Linked DNA regions of Xenopus tropicalis. The protein of the gene in region 3 binds, or shares a complex with, the protein of the main gene of each other region. Links are inferred from orthologs where the notes say so. Each region holds a gene or a part of one and is shown on either strand. Other genes may lie near its edges.

What was found. The genes of interacting proteins can lie anywhere in the genome.
Region 1: smarca2 (region 3) and dpf3 share a complex: the UniProt entries of both Homo sapiens proteins name them as parts of the BAF complex. The link is inferred for Xenopus tropicalis from reciprocal best matches to the Homo sapiens genes SMARCA2 and DPF3.
Region 2: smarca2 (region 3) and smarcd1 share a complex: the UniProt entries of both Homo sapiens proteins name them as parts of the BAF complex. The link is inferred for Xenopus tropicalis from reciprocal best matches to the Homo sapiens genes SMARCA2 and SMARCD1.

The regions. Positions count from the first base shown.
Region 1 is NC_030684.2:106,432,464-106,436,120, reverse strand, and holds part of dpf3 (zinc finger protein DPF3), read right to left. Parts: intron 3,236-3,657; coding exon 3,128-3,235; intron 1-3,127. UniProt on the Homo sapiens protein: Belongs to the neuron-specific chromatin remodeling complex (nBAF complex).
Region 2 is NC_030678.2:148,804,890-148,808,546, reverse strand, and holds part of smarcd1 (SWI/SNF-related matrix-associated actin-dependent regulator of chromatin subfamily D member 1), read right to left. Parts: intron 3,116-3,657; coding exon 2,928-3,115; intron 1,921-2,927; coding exon 1,878-1,920; intron 1,785-1,877; coding exon 1,662-1,784; intron 1,564-1,661; coding exon 1,441-1,563; intron 1-1,440. UniProt on the Homo sapiens protein: Involved in transcriptional activation and repression of select genes by chromatin remodeling (alteration of DNA-nucleosome topology).
Region 3 is NC_030677.2:128,297,363-128,301,119, forward strand, and holds the start of smarca2 (probable global transcription activator SNF2L2), read right to left. Parts: upstream 2,276-3,757; 5' UTR 2,015-2,275; intron 1-2,014. UniProt on the Homo sapiens protein: ATPase involved in transcriptional activation and repression of select genes by chromatin remodeling (alteration of DNA-nucleosome topology).

The sequences.
Region 1 (3,657 bases), on a different chromosome or scaffold from region 3:
CCAGTGTTTTTTAAAGATGACTAGTGCTGGGTGTCTTGTCACTGCAGGTTTTAACAGGCATTGCCACAATACAAAATATAATTATAATTTTGCCCTAAAATGATGGTACAGCCGACAGCTCCGGCAGGTCATTTGTCAAATGCTGCAAGTGTTCCATGAATCTCTGTGCTTTGTATACACATGTGTAATAGCAGTCAAATGTAATAGCCATTAAAAGCTAGAAAATCTGTCTAAGCAACAAAGTAGCACAGACAGAGGCATGTTTCCCAAATTAATGCGATGGGGAAATAAAATACATGAAGAAATTATGTGGGTGAATTGGCAATTACAGAGCTAACCCTTCATCTCACAGGCAGGTTAACCTTGGCTATTGTCAAGACAGTAGGAGGATTACACACAGAACTGGCACTCATTCAGTTAAACTGACTGCACAGATGGAACCCCACTCTACTCATTAAACCCATTAAGCCCAGGCAGCGACACTGAAACATCCATAAATCAAGCCCAGGTACTGCATCATGAGGCTGACAGTCTAAAGATATATCTTCTAACTGAGGTCTCTAATTATTCCTTGAATGATGTACTAGCTCATTGTACAAAGTATTATTAAAGCAATTGATTAAGAGAGCCTAGAGCAGGGTTGCTGCTATGGGGTTGTTTTAATTCATGTTTGGCCCTTAGGGTATATAAGTCTTAAAGATCCAGAAACAGATACCATTAGCATTTTCAACATGTTATATAAGTATATTTGTGCCAGGACACCGGCAGTAGTTAAATTATGATCTCAGAAATAGATCCATAATCATAACAGCCCTAGCCAAGGGCGTCACCCCCAGAAAGCCTCTGGTAGGCAACTCTAAAGAAAACCTATCAAGGTGATCCTGCTTGTAGAACAAAGCAAATACTGCTTAACTCAACTGCAATTTATATATATCCTATTCTAATATCCTTTGAAAAAGGCTTTGCTCAAAAGGCTCTGGTATATGAAACCAGTCTTCTTCACATTCCAGATTACTACAAGACCTTGGAGCAGATTGACTGCATAGAATTCTAATAAACTGAAGGATGTTTGGATAAATAAATCTGTTCTACGGATGTGTTTGGATAACAGCAACATTTCATTATTATCTGCCCCTGCGCATGTAGTATAACGAATACTTGGGCCACTGTCCTCTTCTATAAGTATCCAGGGTACGGGCAGGATTTTCCCCACTCTGCAACTCCAGCTGCTGCCCAGCTACAACAAACTAAAGCTTCCATTTGCATTTAAACTGCACAAACACTGCAGATGCAAAAATCAGCCAATTTCAGGTTGATTTCCTCATTCTGTTATTGCTAGCTATATATCTGAAACATATTTCATTCAAATAATTTTGATTACAGTACCTTCAGTGCTGGTCCATTTGCTTTTTTGGAATAAGGAATGGCCTTTTCCATCGAAGGCAAATTAGACATGGCTTCAGATGTTTTTTTTACCTTCCTTCAATATTATATTTTGGAGAATGAAATTTAAGAGACAGATTCCCTTAAAACAAATCAACTTGCATTTTATGTTAGGTAGAAAGTTGCACAGTGGTTTTGTATTCCTTACATTGCCAAGGCTTGTGATACATAAATATCTGCTTTCTAAACTAAGAGCTGTTGCTCTTAGTGGTGCATGAATAGAGAAATGGCGGAAAGTTGCTCTTGATGGTGCTATTTGTACATGAATAGAGAACTGGCTGAAAGATCATTAACAAAGAGTTGTAATTAGTAGAATATATGGTGCAAGGTGGTGTACTCCACATTTTGTATGACTGCACTGCTATCAAATCTGTTTTTTAAAGACTTAAGGTGGCCATACACTAAAGATATGCCCATTTGACAAAATGAGTGGATCTTTCCTGAATATACCTATTTTCAGGTAAGCGATATCAGGCATATTGCCAAACAATCGCACTATAGAGCCAGTATGTAGGCTGTCAGAGTGAGGCCCGCATCAACGAGCCCAATGATCTGCCCATGCATGGGCATACAAGCTATTGACTCGGCCTGATTGGCCCAAATCCGCAGCTTAAATCTACCTATATACTTTTTTTTTTTCTTTTTTTTTAAATAAAAACTATTGAAAAGAATATGTTTATTTCCCAGAGCCTACAAAAGACTGTTGGCAACCAATTATGTGTTTTGTAGCCATAAAACATTGTTCCCCTTCTTTTTCCTAAGAAATTCATATTATGTAACTCCCCCTATTATTTCAGGAGTTACCCAATTTTGGAGCTTTCCCCCCGGTCTCCCATCATCTGCCACTTCAGGTTTCCGCAGCAAATTAGTACCACAATGTAGTTGACCATTTTGTGTAAAAGTCATAAGTTACATATTAAGAGAAGAATTTATTAAATGTTGGTACATTTTAGTGAAGAGTAATGATAGTTACATTTTAGGATTTAACAATTTATGTTCTGTGCTGGAATGATTCATTCCAAGGCAACATAATTGTCCCAATGTTATTTCCCCACATGCAAGTTACACTGGGAAGCAAGGATATGAGCAGGTGACCACGCACAGCGCTGCTGAGCACTAACACTCCATAAGGCAAAATGACATTTGACTGCTCTAAGCAGTTGGACACATTCTGATGAACTGACACAGGTATCAACTTTGATAAATGCATCAAGTCATCAAAAACTTTTAGGCTCCTGCACCATGGGGTGGATTCTTAGCCTGCGGTTGATGGAGAATATACCCTTACGCTACAAAAAGCTTATTGACAAAGTGGATTTGGGAGTGTAACTGCATACTGCAATTATATACTGAAATCCACTCAGTGAGGATATTAAATTTGCCCCTCAGTATCCATGTGTGTAACTGGCTGTGAGATTACCCAGTGCAGGAAGGCATTTCTGCCTGTCTGATCATTGAGATAACTGCTGTGTTGCCTTGTACATTCCTCCTGCAGTGTCACATTAGCTGAGACCAAAGGGATCACTTCAAAATCCACAAACACTTAACAAAACCAAGTGTATTAGAATTCTGAGCTCAGGGGACAATACAGCTCTCTAATTCTAATAAGGGGATTCAGGGTTTCATAAAATCAAAACAATAACATAATTCACTTGTAAAGCACTTGTGTAAGGCTGTTGCAAACCTGATTTTATTTCCAATAGTCTCAACCTCGGATCTTCTGGGGGGTGTAAACGCCGCTTTTTCCTCCAACATCGTGCAGGGTAAGTATATAACTGCCCTGGAGCCATTCCTGCAAAACACAATATTCCAGTACCATTTAATTTAAGATATTTAAATCTTATAAATGAAACAAATAGAGATCCATTCCAGTATTGCTTTAGAATGCCACTGCCTACATAATGCCAAAATGAAGTTTTGGTGAACTCCACTGTTAGTGGCAATATAGGTGTCTGGCAAACCATTCTCTTGTTGGGATCAACACTGCAACAGTAAAAAGTAAGTGTGATGGTGCCTCTCGTAGTTGTGTTTAGGAAGCATTGGGTGTGATATGGAATGGCATATAACTCATTTCTGAGCTTATAACAAACCTGATCCCTCCAGAAAAGATAAACTATTTATTGCAATCAGTATTTGCAGATAATGCTAATGTGTTTGTTTTCAATGCATTGCAATTTTTTGGCAAGACAGTTTTGCTCATCACTAGTTATGGTC
Region 2 (3,657 bases), on a different chromosome or scaffold from region 3:
ATTACTTTGAAAAGAATAATAAGTATGGGTCTTATTAACCAGTTTTGAGGGATTCATAAAGCAGTCAGTAAAGAGTCTCCTAACGCCTGTGGAGCACCAATATGACTATATGCTGTAGCCTGTTGACTGGTCTAAAGTATTAACGTAATAACATAGCAGATGAGGTAAAAAACAAAAACAAAACACCAAACACACACATTTTTCTACAGGTGAAACCAGAGGGGAAAAATCCTTCTTTATTCCAATATGACAATCAGACCAGTCCCCGGGTCAGCTTTGCTCTGAGTATTGTCCGTGGCAGGGTATTTTCTGGCATTTTTAGGCCGTTGACAAGTAGCTGCTACTAAGTAGCTCCATGTCTCTTAGCCCTAACAGCTAAGGCCCTGGTCAGTCAGACAGGGAGAGAAGGGGACCGCTCTAATACACATTGCCCTGTAACTACTAGGGATGCACCAAATCCAGGATTCGGTTCGGTATTCGGCCAGGATTAGGCCTTTTTCGGATGGATTCGAATTCGGCCGAATCAACGGTCCTGGCTGAACCGAATCCCAATTAGCATATGCTAATGCCCTGCAAGAGCTGTTGTGTCCTGCTTCCCCCACCTTGCCTGCCCACCGATGTGCCGTACCCTGCTTCCCCTGCAAGAGCCGTTCTGTCCTGCTTCCCCCTGAGAGCTGTTCGTAACTTGACAGCAGCCGTTATGCTGCTTACAAGGAATGTTCGGCTCTGTTGTTCTCTAGCCACAATGAGCACAGAGCCAAACGTTCTTTATAAGCCGCACAGCGGCTGCTGTCAGAAGTTACAAACAGCTCGGGGGGGGGGGGGGGACACGATCACCTGTAAGGGGGTGCAGGCGGGAATTGTGCAGTTGTGATAGAGGGCCCTACAGCAGGCATATGAATGAACCGAAATTCAGCCGAATCCCTCACCATGGATTCAGGGTTCAGCTGAACCCAAAAAACAGGGTTTGGTGCATCCCTTGTAGATTGTAAGCTCTTTTGGAAGCTCTTCACCTCTTGTATCGGTTATTGATTGCTTTATATGTTACTCTGTATGTCCAATGTATGAAACCCACTTATTGTACAGCGCTGCGGAATATGTTGGTGCTTTATAAATAAATGTTAATAATAATAATAATAATAATAATAATCCCTAGTAGCTACATTGGTCATTGGTACATCACAGCTTCAGCATGCATGAAGCTACACGTAGCTGAGGAGAAGCTAAGATTGGCCCAAAAATACCAGGGTCAGATTAAATAAAAATGTCATATTTAGAGACAAAGGGACATAGAAATCCTTTGGAAGGTCACATCCTGCCCACAGGCCTCCGGTTGGACAGACCTACTCTACAGAATCCAACCTGTGACTGTTATATAAAAGGACGGGGGGGGTTGTCATTAAGTAATCAATGGAAACATTTTTGTTGCTCAGTACTCACATCCTCAAGGAGACGGCCCTCCACCCGCAGCTCCCATGAGGCAACAGTTCCCTCTCCATCTTCAGCATCTGATTTTGCAGGGTTGAAAGTATTTGAAATGAAGATCCGAAGTTTTCTCTTTTGCTAAAAATTAAGAAATTTGTATAAGAACAGATAATGTCAAAGAAGAAAATATAATTAAAAATTCCACTTTGAACTTAAAGAATTTCTGTCCAGAATACCTTTATTGGTCTCTTCAAAGCCTCCTGAATATCAAGCCGTTTCCTCATGATTGTTTGATCCAGCTTTCTCTCGAACGCTAACAGATCCATGTAAGCCTGAGATTCGGGTACCAGTTCCCTTATCTGTAGGAATAGAAAATAATATATATATATATTGTCGATTAAAAAAATAGAAAAAAGTTAAATAACTATGGTGCCATCTTCTCGAGTACTTACCCTCTGAGGTAGTATCTTATCAGCCATTTTCTTCTTTTTAGCACTGTATGAAGAAAAGAACAATAACTTTTACTCATTTATGGATCCACTTTAAGCCTCTAAAAGAGGATATATTAGCTAAGCCTATTACATACAACCATTTGTTCAACTACATTGGCACACATGGGAAGATATGCTTTTTGGCTATCCATTTGCTCTGCAAATGGCCGACAGTAAGAACATTTAAAGCTGGCCATACACGCACCGATTCACATGATATTCGGTGCGTGTATGGCAAGTTGGCGAGTCGAAGCTGCTGATATCGGTCGACTCACCGATCGGGCCAGTTAAAAGATTTTGGTTGGGCGCCATAGAAGGCGCCTGACCAAAATCTGCCTTCAGCGCTGAATCGGCAGAAGGAGGTAGAAATCCTATTGTTTCTACCTCCTTATCTGCCTCTTTCAGCCCTGAAGGTTAGTGGCAGATCGCCACATGTGTGGCCACCTTAAGGCCTATGGAAATCTGCAGGGAGAGAACCACATCTGATAGGATTTTTCTGCCTGATAGATAACCAGCTGATTATCAGGCAGGCTGGCTGCCGGGATGGCTGCTAAGTCGGTCTGAAGCAACAGTGCGGAGAACTAAATTCCACTGGAATCATTAATGTGCCCCAATCTGCACTGTACACTGAGGGTAAGAACTCACGTAGTGGTTTAGTAATCCACAATTGATCTTGCCTGCAGGAAGAAACTTTGCACGACTTTGGAATACTCCTATTGTTGCCAGTGGAAAGCCATTTCGGAGTGGTAGTCGCCCGTGATAGCGTTCTATTGCGGGCAACCGAACTGCTCCGTTGGTTCTTACCCTAAAAGTGGCCATACATGAGGGGGTTGGGCACATATGTCCATGTGGCATTTAAAAACTACAGTACAGAATACTTCAAATAAGCCATTTAACTTTAAGCTGCAGCTATGCTAGTGAGCCATGTATTTTGAGAAACCAACTTAAGCAGTTTTGGAGATATATAGGTCCTTCTAAAGCAGGAACTGCTAATTCAAATCAAAACATTACCTATGGTTCCTATTCTGAGCAGCCTGTTGTTGCACCTGCTGTATTTGCTGGGGTGCAGGACGTTTCCGAGACTGGTCCATGCCTGATTGGGCCATGCCTGGCCGAGCAGCTGGACTTCCACCATAACCAGGGGGGCCCATTGCTGGTCCCTGAGGAGTCATTCGGCTACCTGGAAGCATTCCAGGTCTCTGCACAGAATAAATATAGAATAAGGTTTCATTACACAAGAACTGACACTGTTTGATATACATTATTTGAGAGACACACACCGTGCATTATACTGTTCATTTTATACAACTGTATATTAAAATCTACATCGGTCTTCTTGCTTGTTCCACCCAACACTATTTTTCTCCCTCATCTACCATGTTCTGCATATTCATGAAGGCAGGGGTAACCTTTTTTTTTTTTAGCAGTGAACCACATTTAAATATAAAAAAAAAAAAAAAAAAAAAAAAACAGTTGGGGAGCAACACATGCATGAAATAAATTTCTAGTAACTGTCAAATAAGGGCTGTGCTTGGTTATTTGGTAGCCCAATTTGTACTAGCAGCCTACAGGTGACTCTGTTTGGCAGTACAAAAGGCCTCCAAAACAGAAATTCAAAAACAAGTATGTGCTTTGGGGGGACTGTGAGCAACATCCAAGGGGTTAGTGAGTAACATGTTGCTCCCAAGCCACTGGTTGGGGATCACTGAATTAAGGAGACTCTCCCTTTTTCATAGATTAT
Region 3 (3,757 bases):
TATGGGTCCATCATAACATCTCCATGAGTTTGAGGTCTGGACTTTGCCATTCCAAAACACTAAGGGGTATATATATCATGCTGTGTAAAAAGTGGAGTGAAGTATTTCCGGTGATTGTTGCCCAGGGCAACCAATCAGCAATTAGATTTCAACAGTTAGAAAATCAAAGCAAAGCATCTGATTGGCTGCTATGAGCAACATCAGCGGCAATGTTTTACTCCACTTTTTACACAGCATGATAAATATATCCCATAGCCATTTAGGTGTAAATTTGTAGGTGTACTGTCAGATAGCACCACATTTTGCTCTATAATTCTCTGGTATGAAGAGAAATTCATAGTGGACTCATTGCCTGTGAAATGTGCAGGTTTTGTGTCTTGGCAGTTTGTATGAGGTTCTTGTGTTATGTTGTTTTTCATCTTGGAAAGACAGGATTTTGTGCATTAGGACAAACTATTAATTGTCCGGAGGATGATTTTTCCAGAAATCTTGTGATCCTTTCAGATACAACATAGTCAACCTAACTGTGTTGCCATTGCATTTTAGAGTAAATGGGCTTTCTCTTGGCTATGTGTTCATGAAATATTTTATCAGTCTTTTTCTAATATTTGGGTCATGAAACTTAAATGGGTTGTTCACCTTTGTACAACATACACAAGTCTAAAGGTGGCCATACACATTAAGATCTACTTGCTTGGCGAGGCCGCCAAGTGAGCGGATCTTTTCCCGATATCCCCACCTACAGGTGGGCAATATTGGGCAAATTTATGGGGGCCAAGCGATCGAATTATAACGATGGCAAAGGGCGCATTGGGTTCCGATGTGGTTCCCGATCCGACTAAATTTTCTAACCTGCCCAAACGATATCTGCCCAATTTCAGGCCAGATATCGGTCGGGCATGGCCGTCGTTGCTGCCCCTACACAGGCCAATAAGCTGCCGACGGCAGCTACAATCGGCCAATGTATGGGCACCTTAACAGTTCACATTAAGAGAACAATCTTTTCCATATACATGGTTAAAGGGGTGGTTCACCTTTAAGTTAACTCTTAGAATTTTACAGAATGCCCTATTCCTAGCAGCTCTGCAATTTGTTTATTTTTTATAGTTTTTGAATTATTTGCCTTTCTCATCTGCCTTATTCCAGCTTTTAAATGGGGGTCACTGATCCCAGCAGCCAAAAACGATTGCTCTGTGAGGCTACAATTTTATTATTATTGTTACTTTTTATTACTTATCTTTCTATGCAGGTCCTCTACTATTCATGTCCCCATCTCTTGTTTAAACCACTGCCTGGTTGCTAGGGTAAATAAGACCCTAGCAACCAGATAGCTGCTATAATACCAAATGGAGAGATGCTGAACAAAAAGCTAAATAACTGAAAAACCAATGATTGTCCAGATTGTCTCAGAATATCAATGTCTACAACATATTAAAAGTTAATTTAAAGGTGAACTACCCCTTTAACTGAAATAAAATGTATAAATATACAGTATAAGAGCATTCTTTCAGAAGCACACAGAGCTAATCCTAGGTAAAGGTGCAGATGCTATTAATTCTGCTGCCTCAGGTCTACACTGATAAAACAATGAGAATAATGTGGAGAATGAAACTGCTAAGTTGCTTGTCACCTCACTGAAACTTCATTGCCAAAAAGAAGAGAAAGGGGATGAGCAGCTGTAAAGCTCAGAGAACTAGAGCAGCCTGCAGCACTGCCTTCCCGGCTTTGATGCCCAAAGCAGATTTCCTTATGTTCTTACACTCCATGCCCCCTCCCTCTGTGCAGGGCACCATGCCAGGCTTTAAATGACTGCGTGTCCCTATTGTGACCCACAAGTAAAGGTCTGAAAACACCTTACTTAATGTGAAAGGGTTAAAGGACTGCTGAAAAACAAATAAACTGTCTGAAATGTGGAAGCTGCCAGAGACTACAAGGCAAACACAATACCCACCTGGGGAGGATGGGGTTAAGGCTGAGCAGATTAATAACAAAAGGTAAAGCAAGCCTTTCTTACCTTCACCCCTTACCGAAGAGCCAGAGCTTGAACCGCTGCTTTTAGTCCTTCTACTTCGCTTTATGTCCCTGTCCCTGCAGTCTGTCACCCTGACGGGATGAGGAGCGGATAATGCTGCTGCTGAGGTAACTGGTCAGTGCCACCTTTTGACCAACCCGTGCCCGCCTGTCAGTGCTGCAGACACGCCGTCACTCACAGGGGCTGCAACTCTCACTGGCAGCCGGGCCATGAGATCATTATCCGGATCATGGCCTCTTCCCCTCCTGCTCAATCCTTCTGCCAACTCCTCCTCCTCCCAATTCCTCCTTGGTTTTATTTTTAATCCTGCTGTCTGTAGTTTTCCTCTGCTTTGCCACTTCCTCCGTGAAGAGGGTGCCAAAACCACACCTCCTACATAGTTCAGCTGTGAACAACTGCACAGGCTATAGAGAAAGAGAGAGAACTCCTTCCAATAATCCCCCACAGCGCTCACTCTGCTGCCTTTGAGGGGGATGCTTGCAGGTGACTGGTGTAGGTGCCGGTATAAAGGTGCCACAAAATGACAAAATGAGGGAGCAGCACATTTGTTTTCACTCAGAATCTGACCATACATATCCACATTCTCACAACTCCTCTCTAAAGAGCATCTTTTTTATTTTAAACACAGTGGGGACAGGGCAGGTGCCATGGGTGCAGTGAATTGTGGGTGAAGGTGTCAGGCAGTTCCCCCTTTCATTATTGGCCAGTAGAGGATTACTAGAAGGTTTCAGGCTGTTCAGCCCATATCAGCCAGTAATATGAAATTATGAAATGAAGAAAGTTTATATATATATATCTATATATATATATATATATAAGTCAAGCTGTGTCCGCACTCTAAACCAGTTTAACTGGTGAGTGCTGAAGTCAAAATATGTAAATACCTATAAACAGGACCAGCACTTCATTTCACAGCAATTCTTCTATTTATTCATTCACCGTGTGTGTGTGTGTGTGTGTGTGTGTGTGAATGAATAAATAGAAGAATTGCAGTGAAATGGTGTGCTTGTCCTATATATATATATATATATATATATATATATATATGTAAAACCTAGCGTATATTGGTGCACACCGGGAATCATTTAAAACATAACTTTTATTAAATAGTTAATACATTAAAGATCAGTCTAACATTTCGGTCTGCATCTAAGACTTCCTCTTGATAAAAGTCTTAGATGCAGACCGAAACGTTAGCCTGATCTGTAATGTATTAACTATTTAATAAAAGTTATGTTTTAAATGATTCCCGGTGTGCACCAATATACACTATATTTTCTTTTTTTCAATGCTCAGTTGGTTGCACCCGGGTCCATTGACTACGCTCAGGAGTGCTGAATCCATGCGTGTTATATATCTATATATATATAAATATAATTATGGTATTTTTACAGACAAACCCTCCCTCTCATTAAAAAAGCAACAAATCTGGCGTGTGTTTTAGTAAGACGTTTTACATATTGAGGGACAGACAGGAGATGATCAGGGAGTGGCTCCATTATCATTAGCCATAACTAGCTCTTATTCCTTGTACCACTTAATTAGCTGAAGTCTTTTCCATTGTCAGAGAAAGGTAAGTTAGTCAGGACCATATCGTTCCCATAGGAAAGAGAGCAGCCCAGAATTAGGAAGTACAGGTATTATCCAGAATGCTCGGGACCAAGGGTATTCCAAATAAGGGGTTTTTGCGTAATTTGGATCTTCATACCTTAAGTCTGCTAACAA